Anolis sagrei: one gene and its partner. The protein of the gene in region 1 interacts with the protein of each later gene in a pairwise test. Links are inferred from orthologs where the notes say so. Each region holds a gene or a part of one and is shown in the gene's direction. Other genes may lie near its edges.

Region 1 (7,128 bases):
TTTTGGGACTGGGGGGTTTGTTACTTTTGTCTTTGTTCAGCCTCTCGCAACATTCAATGTTTGCCAATATCCTTTGTAAACCTCCGAGTCCTCGAGGAGATAGAGTGGGATATAAACACAGCTTTATTATTATTACATATACATCTTGGAGATGGGACTCAAATCCAGACACAAAGTTCACTTAGAGGTCTTTATATATAGCCTGAATTTCATACACAATAGATTCGATCATGTTCTGCACGAAACAAGGTTTGCATATCATGAACCACCAGAAAGCCTATTGGATTTCATAGATTATAACAAGTTACTATCCAAAAAGAAAAGAACACTCAGGGTACATCTACACCAGGCCTGGGCCAACTTGGGCCCTCCAGGTGTTTTGGACTTCCAACTCCCACCATTCCTAACTGCCTCAGGCTCCTTTTCTTTGCCCCCTCAGCCGCTTTACTGCAATATTACTAGTAATATTATGTGCAATATATAATATACAATTACTACATTATTATATATTACATTGTACAATATTATTACATACTATACTGTACTAAATTATTATAGTATTATATTTATTTACGACATTTATATCTTGCTCTTCTCACCCCGAAGGGGACTCAGAGCAGCTTACAATGTATTATATTATTAGCATAGCACAATATTAGTATTATGTATTACTATATTGTACTATGCTTTATATTACATGTAATATAAAGTATAAAATATTATATTGTATTATTATTATATTGTATAACATTATAATATTATCAATATTATATGTGTATACAATATATTATTAGCACAGCACAATATTAGTATTATATATTACTATATTGTACTATACTACTATACTGTAATATTATTAGGAATATTACATGTATTATAAAGTATATAATTATATTGTATTGTATTATATTGTATTACATTACATTATTACCTTTCCATACATATCTCTCCTTATGAACTATTTAGGACTCTAAGATCTTCTGGGGAGGCCTTGCTCTAGGTCCTGCCTCCTTCACTGATGTGTTTGGCTGGAACGAGAGGCTGGCCTTCTCAGTGGTGCCCCCTTGGCGGTGGAATGCCCTTCCCACGGATATATGATTGGCTCCTTCCTTCTGACATTCCATAAAAAGGTTAAAACCTGGCTTTTCGAGCAAGTTTTTGCTAACATAACATAATCAGGTAAAGATGAAATTATGGGACTTGACAATGCAATCTGGATAACGATTTTAGTAAGGAGATGCTGTTGACTATGTTTCTATGGCTTTGTATGGTTTTATATTATATGCTATAAGTTTTTAATTGTATTTATATTTGTTTTTAATTTTACTTTTATAATTGTGGAGGTATTGAATTGTTGCCGACTGTGAACTGGCCTGAGTCGCCTCCGGGCTGAGAAAGGCGGTATATAAATATGGTAAATAAATAAATATGTGTATATAATATATTAACAATATTACAGTATACCATGTAGCAACAGTCAGGACTGACCACGGAACAACAGACTGGTTCAAGATTGGGAATGGCGTACGGCAAGGCTGCATCCTCTCACCCAACCTTTTTAACTTGTATGCAGAACACATCATGCGATGTGCGGGGCTGGATGAATGCAAAGCTGGGGTGAAAATTGCTGGAAGAAACATTAACAACCTCAGATATGCAGATGACACCACTCTGATGGCCGAAAGCGAGGAGGAGCTGAGGAGCCTTCTAATCAAGGTGAAAGAAGAAAGCGCAAAAGCCGGGTTGCAGCTAAACGTCAAAAAAACCAAGATTATGGCAACAAGAATGATTGACAACTGGAAAATAGAGGGAGAAACCGTGGAGGCCGTGACAGACTTTGTATTTCTAGGTGCAAAGATTACTGCAGATGCAGACTGTAGCCAGGAAATCAGAAGACGCTTACTTCTTGGGAGGAGAGCAATGTCCAGTCTCGATAAAATAGTGAAGAGTAGAGACATCAGACTGGCAACAAAGATCCGCCTAGTCAAAGCCATGGTATTCCCTGTAGTCACCTACGGATGTGAGAGCTGGACCTTAGGGAAGGCTGAGCGAAGGAAGATCGATGCTTTTGAGCTGTGGTGTTGGAGGAAAGTGCTGAGAGTGCCTTGGACTGCGAGAAGATCCAACCAGTCCATCCTCCAGGAAATAAAGCCCGACTGCTCACTGGAGGGAAAGATACTAGAGACAAAGTTGAAGTACTTTGGCCACATCATGAGGAGACAGGAAAGCCTAGAGAAGACAATTATGCTGGGGAAAGTGGAAGGCAAAAGGAAGAGGGGCCGACCAAGGGCAAGATGGATGGATGGCATCCTTGAAGAGACTGGACTGACCTTGAGGGAGCTGGGGGTGGTAACGGCCGACAGGGAGCTCTGGCGTAGGCTGGTCCATGAGGTCATGAAGAGTCGGAGACGACTGAACGAATGAACAACACACAGTATACCACTATATGTAATAATATTAATATTACATATAATATAAAACATTATTATTTTGTATTATTATTATATTGTATTACATTATATTATCAATATTATATGTGTATACAATATTTTATTAGCACAGCACAACTGTACTATATTGTTACCTGCTGTAATGCAACCTGAGCCCTGCTACATGCACAATGGAGGACCTTCTTATAGTAACACCAGAGACACTCCAAGTGGCCAGTTACTGGTATTTTATTTATTTATCGTGTCAGTATCAACCAGATAATTGTGTTGCTGCAAGAAGGTCCTCCATTGTGCATGTGGCGTGGCCCAAGTTGCGTTGCAGCAGGTGGTCTGTGGTTTGCTCTTCTCCACACTCGCATGTCGTGGATTCCACTTTGTTGCCCCATTTCTTAAGGTTGGCTCTGCATCTCGTGGTGCCAGAACGCAGTCTGTTCAGCGCCTTCCAAGTCGCCTAGTTTTCTATGCGCTCAGCAGGCCCGTAGCCAGGATTTGGATTCGGGGGGGGGGGGCTGAGTTTGTTTCGGGGGGGGGCTGAATTCGAGTGAAAGAGAGTCTACCCTAGCAAAACTTTTGTATCGTTACCCCAATACCCCCATGCATATGGGATATATTGAGTATGGTGATCAGATCATGATATGAATAAACGTAACAGTTTAAATAATGCACCGGTAAGGCCTTTTCACGAACCACCAAGAGAATTTCGGGGGGGGGGGGGGCTGAAGCCCCCCAAGCCCCCTCGCCCCCCGCTACATGCTTGCCGCTCCGGGGGGAGTCTCTCATTTGATATCAGCCATTGATTGAGGTTCTGGGGTTTGAGCCTGCCACTTTTGGACTCTCGCTTGCTGAGGTGTTCCAGCGAGTGTCTCTGTAGATCTTAGAAAACGATTTCTTGATTTAAGTTGTTGACGTGCTGGCTGATACCCAAACAACAGATGAGCTGGAGATGTCTCTGCCTTGGTCCTTTCACTATTGGCTGCTACTTCCCGGCGTATGTCAGGTGGTGCAATACCAGCTAAACAGTGTAATTTCTCCAGGGGTGTAGGGCACAGACTGGTCAAAAGACATTTAATCAACTACCAAGCTTGCAAACTTTGTGTTTTGTCTGTTTGTTAAAAAATGCAATACAACTGGTTTTGGGGGGGGGGGGGGGGTTGCTCCTGACACGATAAATAAATATTATATAGCTTAAGCGGCTGAGGGAGGAAAAGGAAGGGATCTGAGGCTGTTAGGAATGGTGAGAGTTGGAAGTCCAAAACACCTGGAAGGAAGGCCCAGGCCTGGTGTAGCTGCACCCTCAGTACCACCAAAGAGGAGCAAGATACGGGCCTAACAGTGAGGAGAAACCGAGGAGCCACTCCTTCCTGAGAAAAAGGAGGCAGAAGAAGGGCCCCGAAGCTCCCTCAACGTCCACACACCTCAAGTCTCCTTAGAGGGCTCCAACACCATCACCACCACCACTTCCTCCTCCACGATTCAAAATGGCGGCCGGGCGAAAGAAGTAACCCAACAGGCAAGTGAAAGGAAACGCGCCTCGAGCTACGTCACAAGCCGAGTGACAGTTGGGCCGTCTGCGCCCGCGCCGCTTGGCCCCGCCCCCTCACCACCCACACACAAATCCTCCCAGAAGCCACCGCGCATTGAACAGCGACGAGAGGAGGGAGTGAGGAAAAGAAACCAACCAGGGACTACATTTCCCAGCAATCCCTCCGAGTGGGAGGGGGAGGGAGCGAGCGCGGAAAGGGCTTGGCGGAGAGTGGTCTAGCCTGCCGATAGCGCGAGCTCGGCGAGTAAGATGGCGACGGAGGGAGCAGTTCTTCTCTGAGGAGGAAGAAGAGGAAGGAAAGGAAAGGAAGGAAGGAGAATGGTTGGCTCCACAATCTCTCGCTGAGGGGGAAAGCTGCACTTGCCGGCAGTGGCCGAAAGGGGGCCGCGGAAGGAAGGGGCCTCGAAGAAGGAGAAGGAGAAGAAGGTGTCAGTCGGTCAGGTAGCGCCGCCTCTGCTTCGCTCGCTCTCGGCTCTTTGGCGGCGGCCAACGACGTCTCCATGTCGGACAACCAAAGCTGGAATTCCTCAGGCTCCGAGGAGGATCCCGAGACCGAGTCTGGGCCGCCTGTTGAACTCTGCGGAGTCCTCAGTAAGGTAAGAAGGAGGAGGAGGAGGAGAAGCGCCTGTTTTCCTTCCGCAACAGACTGAATGAGAGGTTTGTGGTGTGTCCCTCCGTCGAGGCGCCTCACCTGAGGAGAGGAAATGGAGGAAGGTCCTGCTGCGAAAGAGGGCGCGTCTACGCTGCAGATTTAATCCAGTTTGACACCACTTGAACTGCCATGTGATGGAATCAAGGGAGTTGTAGTATTATACGGCCTCTATCCCCTCCATACTGCGGATTAAGTCCACGCTGCAGATTTAATCCGGTTTGACACCATATGATGGAATCAAGGGAGTTGTAGTTTTAAAAGGCCTTTATCCCCCCCCCCCTCCGTACTGCAGATTAAGTCTAGCTTTAATCCAGTTCAACACCACTTGAACTGTCATGTAATGGAATCAAGGGAGTTGTAGTTTTATAAGGCCTTTATCCCCCCCCCCTGCAGATTAAGTCTAGATTTAATTCAGTTTGACACCACTTGAAATGCCATATGATGTAATCAAGGGAGTTGTAGTTTTACAAAGCCTTAACCCCCCCCCCCCCCCAATTGCAGATTAAGTCTAGATTTAATTCAGTTTGACACCACTTGAAATGCCAAATGATGTAATCAAGGGAGTTGTAGTTTTACAAAGCCTTAACCCCCCCCCCCCAATTGCAGATTAAGTCTAGATTTAATTCAGTTTGACACCACTTGAAATGCCAAATGATGGAATCAAGGGAGTTGTAGTTTGACAAGGCCTCTATCTCCCCCCTTGTACTGCAGATTAAGTCCAGATTTAATTCAGTTTGACACCACTTGAACTGCCATATGATAGAATCAAGGGAGTTGTAGTTTTACAAGATCTTTATTCCCCTCTCTTACTACATTAAGTCCAGATTTAATCCAGTTTGACACCACTTGAATTGCCATATGATGGGATCAAGGGAGTTGTAGTTTTACACGTCGTTAACCCCCCTTTTTTGTAAGAGACTGCTAGTGCCTCAACAAACTACAACTCCCACAATTTATTTATTTAGTTTTACAAGATTTTTATCCCCCCCCCCTTGTACTACAGATTAAGTCTAGATTTAATTCAGTTTGACACCACTTGAAATGCCACATGATGGAATCAAGGGAGTTGTAGTTTTACACGTCATTAACTACCCCCTTTTTTGTATGATAGTGCTAGTGCCTCAACAAACTACAACCCCCACAATTTATTTATTTATATCCCGTTTTATCTCTCCATACAGAGACTCAAAAACATTGCAACTAAAAATATACAATAATAAAACAATATATCATTATATATTATCAGTAGTAATTTATTTATTTATTATTTATTTATTTGGGGTTCTTTTACCCCGCCCTTCTCACCCCGAAGGGGACTCAGGACGGCTTACAAAAGCAAAGGCACAATTTGATGCCTGCATCATAAAGACAATCAAACACAGAATTACATCAATACACAGTTAACAACAAATATACATTATAACCATAAAATCAATAAAACCAAATACAAACCCAATTGCTCCTCTTACATGGTCAGCGTTCGCTACTCATAGATCTATTTTTACGTTCCACTTCATCAATCCTGCTGGTCTTACTCGCCTGGTTGTCTGATTTAGTTGCCGGAGTGGCCAAAGGCCTGGTCCCATAACCAAGTCTTCACCCTTCTCCTAAAGGCGAGGAGGGATGATGATACTTATATTTAGTATATTAGTATTACTATATTTCAATGTTATTATAATATACTATATTGTATTATGATTAGTATTGTATTGTGTTACATTATAATATTATCAATATTGTATGTTTATACAATATATTATGGAGCCCCCAGTGACACAGGTTAAATGGCTGAGCTGCCAAACTTGCTGACCGAAAGGCTGGCGGTTTGAATCCGTGAAGCAGAATGAACTCCTGCTGTTAGGCCCAGATTCTGCCAACCTAGCAAATATGAGTAGATCAATAGGTACCGCTTCAGTAGGAAGGTAATGGCACTCCATGCAGTCATGCCAGCCACATGACCTTGGATAGGTCTGCATACAGTGCCAGCTCTTCAGCTTAGAAATAGAAATGAACACCACCTCCAGAGTCCTACACAACTAGACTTAATGTCAAGGTGAAACCTTTACCTTTTACAATATGAGTTCACAAAGAGTCGGAAGTGACTGAACTAATAAACAAGAAATATTATTAGCATAGCACAATATTAGTATTATACATTACTATATTGTACTATACCACTGAACTGCAATATTATTAGTAATGTTACATGTAATATATAATATACAATTATTATATTATTTTATATTGTACTATAATATTTTTATAAAGTTTTTGCACATAGTATGGATTCCATGTTGGTTCAAGTGTTGACAAACAGGATTGATTCTACAGTGTAGATGAGGTATAGGCAAACTTCGCCCCTTCAGGTGTTTTGGACTTCAGCTTCCACAATTTCTAACAACTGAGGCACTCTGAAAAACAGCCCCAGGACAAGGAGGAATCATAGAGAAGCCCCCCTTAAAGGGGGCGAAAACAGCTCTTAG
Region 2 (8,010 bases), on another chromosome or scaffold:
ATTCACCTGCTTCGCCTTGGCGGATTTATGCCAGACGGGACAGTCATACTCAGCAAGCCAAAAGCATTGCTTTACAACATTTTAACCTGGAGGTATGTTTCTTTCCTCCACAAATGGACAAACACTGACAGTCTTTATCCAAACCACTTTCAACTATTATGTCTATTAATATAGAAAGGGCTTGAGACAACTGGAAGTTATTGAAATCTACCCCTTGGAAGGGAAGTTCACTTCTGAAAGAGATTATCATCGGGAAAAGGTGTCTCCACTGAAGCTTTCTCACCAATGCTTGTTTCCACAACAAGCCAAATCGAACTATCACAGAAAGGGAGGGGAAATCTTCTAAAGAGGGACACAGACAGCAAAGCAAACACAATATGGGTGTTCACCCTTCCCTATGCTATTCAAAGCTAAAACAATAAATACCTTGGCTGGAGTTCCACTTAAAAGCATCCCTTATCCGAGTTACATACAAATTCAACTTAAGAACAAACCTACAGAACCTATCTTGTTCACGACTTGGAGACTGCCTGTATCACTATTATGGGGACTTTATTGTGAGTTTGTTTGCCTTTAAAGCATCTACCATACTTCCTCACATAATGGGGTTCCAGAGATCTCAGTTTTGGGGTTTTTTAATTGCCTTCAGGCCTCGGAGAGATGAGAGAAGAGTGAAGCTCCAGAGACCTCCATTTTATAGTTTTAAACTATTTGCTTTTGGGAAAGAAAGGGGAAGTTATCCTGAAATTAACCTCCTCCTCCCCTTTTGGAAGTAAAGCATTTTGTTTAAACAACAACAGAAAATGGCAAATAAAGGCAATTTTTCCCTTCATTTAATAGTTGCACCCCTTTTTGTTGGTAAGAAGGTGTGACTATTATGTGATGAAATATATGTAAAGCTTCCTCTTCATCCTGGAAACAAGTGACAAGTGGAGTGCCGCAGGGTTCCGTCCTCAGCCTGGTCCTGTTCAGCATCTTGATTAATGACTTAGATGAAGGGTTAGTAGGCATGATCATCAAGTTTGCAAATGACACCAAATTGGGAGAGCCAATACTCCAGAAGACAGGAGCAGTATACAGAACAATCTTGACAGATTAGAGAGATGAATGGCCAAAACTAACAAAATGAAGTTCAACAGGGACAAATGCAAGATACTCCACTTAGGCAGAAAAAAATTAAAGTCAAAGATCCAGAATGGGAGACGCTCAGCTCGACAGCAGTATGTGTGAAAAAGAGTCCTCTTGGACAGGAAGGGAAACATGAGCCAGCAATGTCATACGGCAGCTTAAAAAGCCAATGGGATTTTGGCTTGCATCAATAGGAATCTAGAGAAGTCATGTTACCCCTCTCTTCTGTCTTAGTCAGTTCACTTTACCTGGAATCACACTGTGTCCAATTCTGGGCACCACAATTGAAGGGAGATGCTGACTCTAAGCTGGAATGTGTCCAGAGGAAAGCCAACCAAATGATTAAGGGTCTGGAGAACAAGCCCTATGAGGAGAGGCTAATGTATGGTATGTTTAGCCTGCAGAAGAGAAGGCTGAGAGGAGACATGATGGTAGCCATGTATAAATATGTGAGGAGAAGTCATAGGGAGGGGGGAGCAGGCTTGTTTTCTGCTGCCCTGCAGACTAGGACACAATAGAACAATGGTTTCAAACTACAGGAAAGGCCTGAACATTAGGAAGAACTTCCACCTGAACATTAGGAAGAACTTCCTCATTGTGAGAGCTGTTCAGCAGTGGAACTCTGCCCCGGAGTGTGGTGGAGGCTCCTTCTTTGGAGGCTTTTAAACAGAGGCTGGATGGTCATCTGTCAGGGGTGCTTTGAATGTGATTTTCCTGCTTGGCAGCAAGGGGTTGGACTGGATGGCCCATGAGGTCTCTTCCAACTCTATGGTTCTACGATTCTATGAAGATCCGAGTTCCAGGGACAGCAATTTCAGGATTTTTTGAACTGCCTTCAGGCCTCAGAGGGAGGACAGAAGAGTGGAGCTCCAGAAACCTCCATTTTTAAACTGTTTGCCTTCGGGAAAGGAAGGGGAATTTTTCCTGAAATGGCTCCGCAGTTTAAACAAACAAACAAACAGAAACCAAAATGCTTGTTTGAGACTGGACCTCCTCCTCTTCTCCTCCCCTTTTGGAAGTAAAGCACTTTATTTAAACAACAGGAAACGGAGACTAAAGGCAGTTTTTTCTTCATATAATAGTCGCACCCCTTTTTGTTGTTTTTGGGCTCGGCCTCATGTAAGCCGCACCGAGTCCCTTGGGAGATGGTAGCGGGGTACAAATAAAGTTTTTATTATTATTATTATTATCATTTTGACAAGGTGTGACTATTATGTGTTGAGATACGTTATAGTCAAAGCTATTTTTATAGATCTGCTTCATAATACCAATAACCGATAAAGCATTGAAACATTTGGCACATCTGTAAATAGCATATATTTATTCACATGCCCTTTTTTCTCTTTCAAAAGTGACCTACAATGCAATGTACACACACATACATAGATATAAAAGGTAAAGGTAGTCCCCTGACATTAAGTCCAGTCATGTCTGACTCTGGGGTGTGGTGCTCATCTCCATTTCTAAGCCGGAGAGCCAGCGTTGTCCGTAGACACCTCCAAGGTCATGTGGCCGGCATGACCTCATGGAGTGCCGTTACCTTCCCGCTGGAGCGGTACCTATTGATCTACTCACATTTGCATGTTTTCAAACTGCTAGGTTGGCAGAAGCTAGGGCTGACAGAGGAAGTTCACGCCGCTCCCCGGAATCGAACCTGCGACCTTTCGATCAACAAGCTCAGCAGCTCAGTGCTTTAACCCACTGCGCCACCGGGGGCCCCTACATAGATATAGTGATAGAAAAATATATATTGGAGAAATTTATATACATATATATATATACACAAACATATATATTTGTATATGTGTGTGTATATATATACACACACCCATATATCCAATATATATTTATCTATCACTATGTTTGTGTGTGTATGCACATATTCAAATATCATATATAAGCAGGGAGAGATATTCCTTCCCAAAGCTTCCTTCTAGGTTTGAAAACCATCTGGACGAGAAAGAGTTAAAGGGCAAGCTGTAAAGCGCGGTTTCTGTCGCAAAGCGGATAGCTCCTCCCCTCGCCGCCTCTAAGCCCCTCCCGCCTCTACGCCCCTCCCACTCAGGCCGCCTCTACGCCCCTCCCACTCAGGCCAGCCGGATTCTCAAAGCGCGCTCTAACCAAAGAGAGCCGGTTTCGGCGCACAACCACTACTTCCGGATCCCATTAGGAGCCTCCATTGGCGTGGCAGGCGTCTCCCAAAAGAAACCAATGCAAAGCTTCCCAATCAACGTATACAGTCTTATTTCAAAAAGCCCACTATATGGTTCAGATATGTGGATGACACTTTCACCATTTGGAGCCATGGAGAAGAAGAACTCAACAGGTTCCTGGACCATCTTAACAGCATCCACCCAAACATCCAGTTCACTATGGATAAAGAAAAGGAAGGAAGACTGCCTTTTCTAGATGTCCTAGTCATCCACAAACCAGATCAACAATTGGGTCACACCGTCTACAGAAAACCCACACACACAGATAGATATCTACATAAAAACTCCAACCATCACCCAAGTCAAAAAAGAAGCACCATTAAAGCCTTGGCAGACCGTGCAAAAAGAATCTGCAAACCCCACCTCCTCCAAGATGAACTGAACCACCTCAACTGGGCTGTACAGGCCAATGGAGACTCCACCTCAGACATCAGAAGAGCTGCAAGACTGAGAACAAGCCATGAGAATAAAGACGAAGATCCACCCAAGGGAAAAGTGTTTTTGCCATACATCAAGGGAACCACTGACCGCATAGGGAAGCTGATGAGGAAACACAACATACAAACAATCTACAGACCCACCAAGAAAATCCAACAAATGCTACGTTCAACAAAGGACAAGAGGGATCCTCTCACTTCTGCAGGAGTCTACCGTATACCATGCAGCTGTGGACAAGTCTACATAGGGACCACCAAACGCAGCATTGCCCAAACACGAATCAAGGAACATGAAAGGCACTGCAGACTACTCCAACCAGAGAAGTCAGCCATAGCAGAGCACCTGATGAACCAACCTGGACACAGCATATTATCTGAGAACACAGAAATGCTGGACCACACCAACAACCACCATGTCAGACTACACAGAGAAGCCATTGAAATCCACAAGCAGGTGGACAATTTCAACAGAAAGGAAGAAACCATGAAAATGAACAAAATCTGGCTACCAGTATTAAAAAACTCTAAAATTGCAACAGCAAAAACAGCAGAGAGAAAAACAGGCAGGGACATCTAATCACCTTTCAAGAGGAGTTTGCTCCAGGCACAGTCAGCCCATTGTATGCTAATCAGGGTGGTCAGTTGAAAGATTCACACCCAGCCCAACTTACAAAAGCCCTTTGTCTCACCCTGGTCATTCCACAGATATATAAACCCCTTTTTTCCCAGCTCCAGCAGACCTCACCTCTGAGGATGCTTGCCGTAGATGCAGGCGAAACGTCAGGAGAAATGCCTCTAGAACATGGCCATATAGCCCGGAAAAACCCACAAGAACTGAGTGATTCCAGCCATGAAAGCCTTCGACAGTACAGTCTTATTTCTTATTTATACTCCGTCTTTCTTCCTCAGCGTCGAGTCCAACATTTTAAAAGAACCATTTAGTGGGTAACTATGCAGTGAGGAGACTGTATTTTTTCTCTTTTTTCTCCACTCAAATGGATGATGCCTATGCATTCTCAAAGGGAACCGGACGTTTATTAAAGTTCCCATTTCGCCCTCTCCTCTTTGTTCTCTCCGCTTTTTCCGGCCTCTTTGGGCCTGTCCTTTTCCGCGCATGCGCCCTGCGTCCAGAGAGGGGCCTCTCACGCAGTCAGCGCGGAGGCGGGTATTCTGGAAGCAGGTTGCGCCGGCGGCGTGACGTCACGGCTATAGGGCGACTCCGAGGCTACGCCGCTGACGTAGCGGCGTCGCTCTCGCTCTCAGGGAGGAGAAGGCAGAAAGAGGTTTAAAGAGACAACAGCCAATGGAGGGGCTTTGGGGCAACAGGGCGAGCCCCCACCCATGCTGAGGAGCCCGGGCCCCGAGGAAGGAAGGCAGGCCGGCCTCGAAGGGCCCCGTGAGAGGTAAAGCCCTCCATTGCGCGACTAATGCGCGACTAATTGAGGGAAGGCGTCGTTTTCCTGAGGGGAACACAGGGCCTCCGTTGGCCTTGCACCTTTTGGAGGGGCTTGCGCCACAGGCACACGCCTCACTTATTTAACTTCATAATAGTTTTATATATATATATATATATATATATATAATATCTAATATATATATATATATATATATATGATTTGATTTAATAGTGTATATATATATGTATGTCTTTATTTAATAATATATCAATCTCATGTATGTAATTTAATAATAATAATAATAAATATAAATATTACATTGTCTAATTTATTTAAGAATAAAAATAATCATATATCCATATTATATATCTCCCTAATTTAATTTAATCATTACTATTCCATATCCATGTTATATATCTCCAATATAATGTAATAATAATAATAGTAAAATGTAAATATTATATCTCTCTAATAATAAGGATAATATCTCCGTCTCTCGTTTATGTAATTTAATAATAATAGTAAAATATAGATGTCTCTCTAATTTATATAAGAAGAAAAATATGTTTATATCTCATTTATTTTATTTAATAATAATAGTAAAATATACATTTTCTATCTAATTATATATATATATATAAAATTTAATAATAATGTATCATTTTATGTCTCTTAATTTATTTAATAATATATCAATCTCACATTTATGTAATTTAATATTTAATAATATATCATATTATCTCTCTTAATAATAAAAATAGTAAAATGTATATATATATACTAGCCATCCCCTGCCACGCGTTGCCGACATGAGGGTTCTGTGTGGGAGGTTTGGTCCAATTCTATCGTTGGTGGGGTTCAGAATGCTCTGTGATTGTAGGTGAACTATAAATCTCAGCAACTACAACTCCCAAATGTTAAGATTATATTTTCCCCAAACTCCACCAGTGTTCACATTTGGGCATATTGAGTATTCGTGTAGAGTTTGGTCCAGATCCATCATTGTTTGAGTCCAAAGTGATCTCTGGATGTAGGTGAACAACACCTCCAAAACCCAAGAACACTGCCCACCAAACCCTTGCAGTATTTTCTGTTGGTCATGGGAGAACTGTGTGCCAAGTTTGGTTCAATTCCATCGTTGGTGGGGTTCAGAATGCTTTTCGATTGTAGGTGAACTATAAATCCTAGCAACTGCAACTCCCAAATGACAAAATCATTTATTTTTTTTTAGTGAAGGACGTACATTGGGTTGTTAGGTGTCTTGTGTCCAAATTTGGTGTCAATTCGTCCAGTGGTTTTTGAGTTCTGTTAATCCCACAAACGAACATTACATTTTTATTTATATAGATATCTAATGTAATAATAATATATCCATATTATGTATCTCTAATTTATTATATATATATATATATATATATATATATATACACCTATCGTATCTATCTGTTTATTTACTGTATTTATATACTGCTTTTCTCACCCCTGAGGGGACTCAAGCGGTTTCCAACATAATCATTGCAAAATTCAATGCCAAACATACATCTGAAAAACCAAAACATAAAATCAAACAGTAACATACTATGAATTAAAACCACATTGAACCATGAAACATAAGCAGCATTTAAACATTAAGACACAGAATTAAAACATCTTAATATAAACATTAAAAAATCACATAATCTGAAATCGTGGTCCACAGCCATTCCAATTGTTAATTGCACATATCTAATAATATATATGTGTGTGTGTCTCCATATTATCTCTCAAATTTAATAATAATAATAAGATATCTAATATATTTAATTTAATAATAGTAAAATATAGATACTGATCTGTCAAATTTATTTAAGAATAATAATACATCCATATTATATATTTCTCTAATACAATAATATACCGTAATTATACATATGTATATATTTAATAATAATAATATATACATGTCTCATTTATTTAATTTAATAACAAAATATATATCTGTTTAATTATATATATATATATATATATATATATGATAATGATATATACATATATCTCTAATGTATATATATATATATAATTATTAATATCTCCCTATACTTAATTTAATAATAACATATACATATTATATGTAATTTAATAATATTAATATATGCGTATCTCTCTAATTTATTTAATGTAACAATAATAATATATCCCTATTAGACACCTCTCTAATGTTTTTAATTTATTTAAAAGAGAAATGGCAAACACTGTGGCAATAATAATAATAATGTTTCACTTTAAAGATACATATATCAATAATAATGATGAAGTTTCACTTTTGTGATTAGCTTTTAAGAATACCAATTATTAAGTTTCAGTTTTGTTTTTATAGATAAATAAATAGGAATTAAGAAGAGCAAAAGAGAGAAAAGGGGAATAAACAAATAATATGTATTATTATTATTATTATTATTATTGGAAAGAAAAATGATTTATTGCTTTTTTCTCCCCATTTTTTCTACTTCTTATAGTAAGAAAATGGCTTTATTGCTTTTTTTCCAAATTACTTTCAAAAGGGAATGTATCGGTGTATACAAACACACACACACACATATATATATAATTTTATAGATAGATCAGATAGATAGATCAGATAGAGGAAAGAAGAGGAGTAGAAGAGAGGAAAAGGGAATAAAGAAATAAAATTTGTTGTTAATATTATTGGAAAGAAAATGTATTTATTGCTTTTTTTCACCCCATTTTTTAAATTAAAAGTTCTTAAACTGGTCTAAAAAGAAATAGAAACATACATAAAGGGGAAAAAGTAGGAAGAAACATGGCTTGATTGCTCCTCCCTTTCGTTCATTGCCC

What was found.
Region 2: the proteins of CERT1 (region 1) and CSNK1G2 interact in binary tests that used the Homo sapiens proteins (3 or more experiments, as listed by UniProt). The two-hybrid records come from large-scale screens. The link is inferred for Anolis sagrei from reciprocal best matches to the Homo sapiens genes CERT1 and CSNK1G2.

What each region holds. Positions count from the first base shown.
Region 1 is NC_090022.1:263,953,981-263,961,108, reverse strand, and holds the start of CERT1 (ceramide transfer protein), read left to right. Parts: upstream 1-4,091; 5' UTR 4,092-4,493; coding exon 4,494-4,589; intron 4,590-7,128. UniProt on the Homo sapiens protein: Shelters ceramides and diacylglycerol lipids inside its START domain and mediates the intracellular trafficking of ceramides and diacylglycerol lipids in a non-vesicular manner.
Region 2 is NC_090034.1:52,782,520-52,790,529, reverse strand, and holds the start of CSNK1G2 (casein kinase I), read left to right. Parts: upstream 1-5,008; 5' UTR 5,009-5,181; intron 5,182-8,010. UniProt on the Homo sapiens protein: Serine/threonine-protein kinase. Casein kinases are operationally defined by their preferential utilization of acidic proteins such as caseins as substrates. It can phosphorylate a large number of proteins. Participates in Wnt signaling.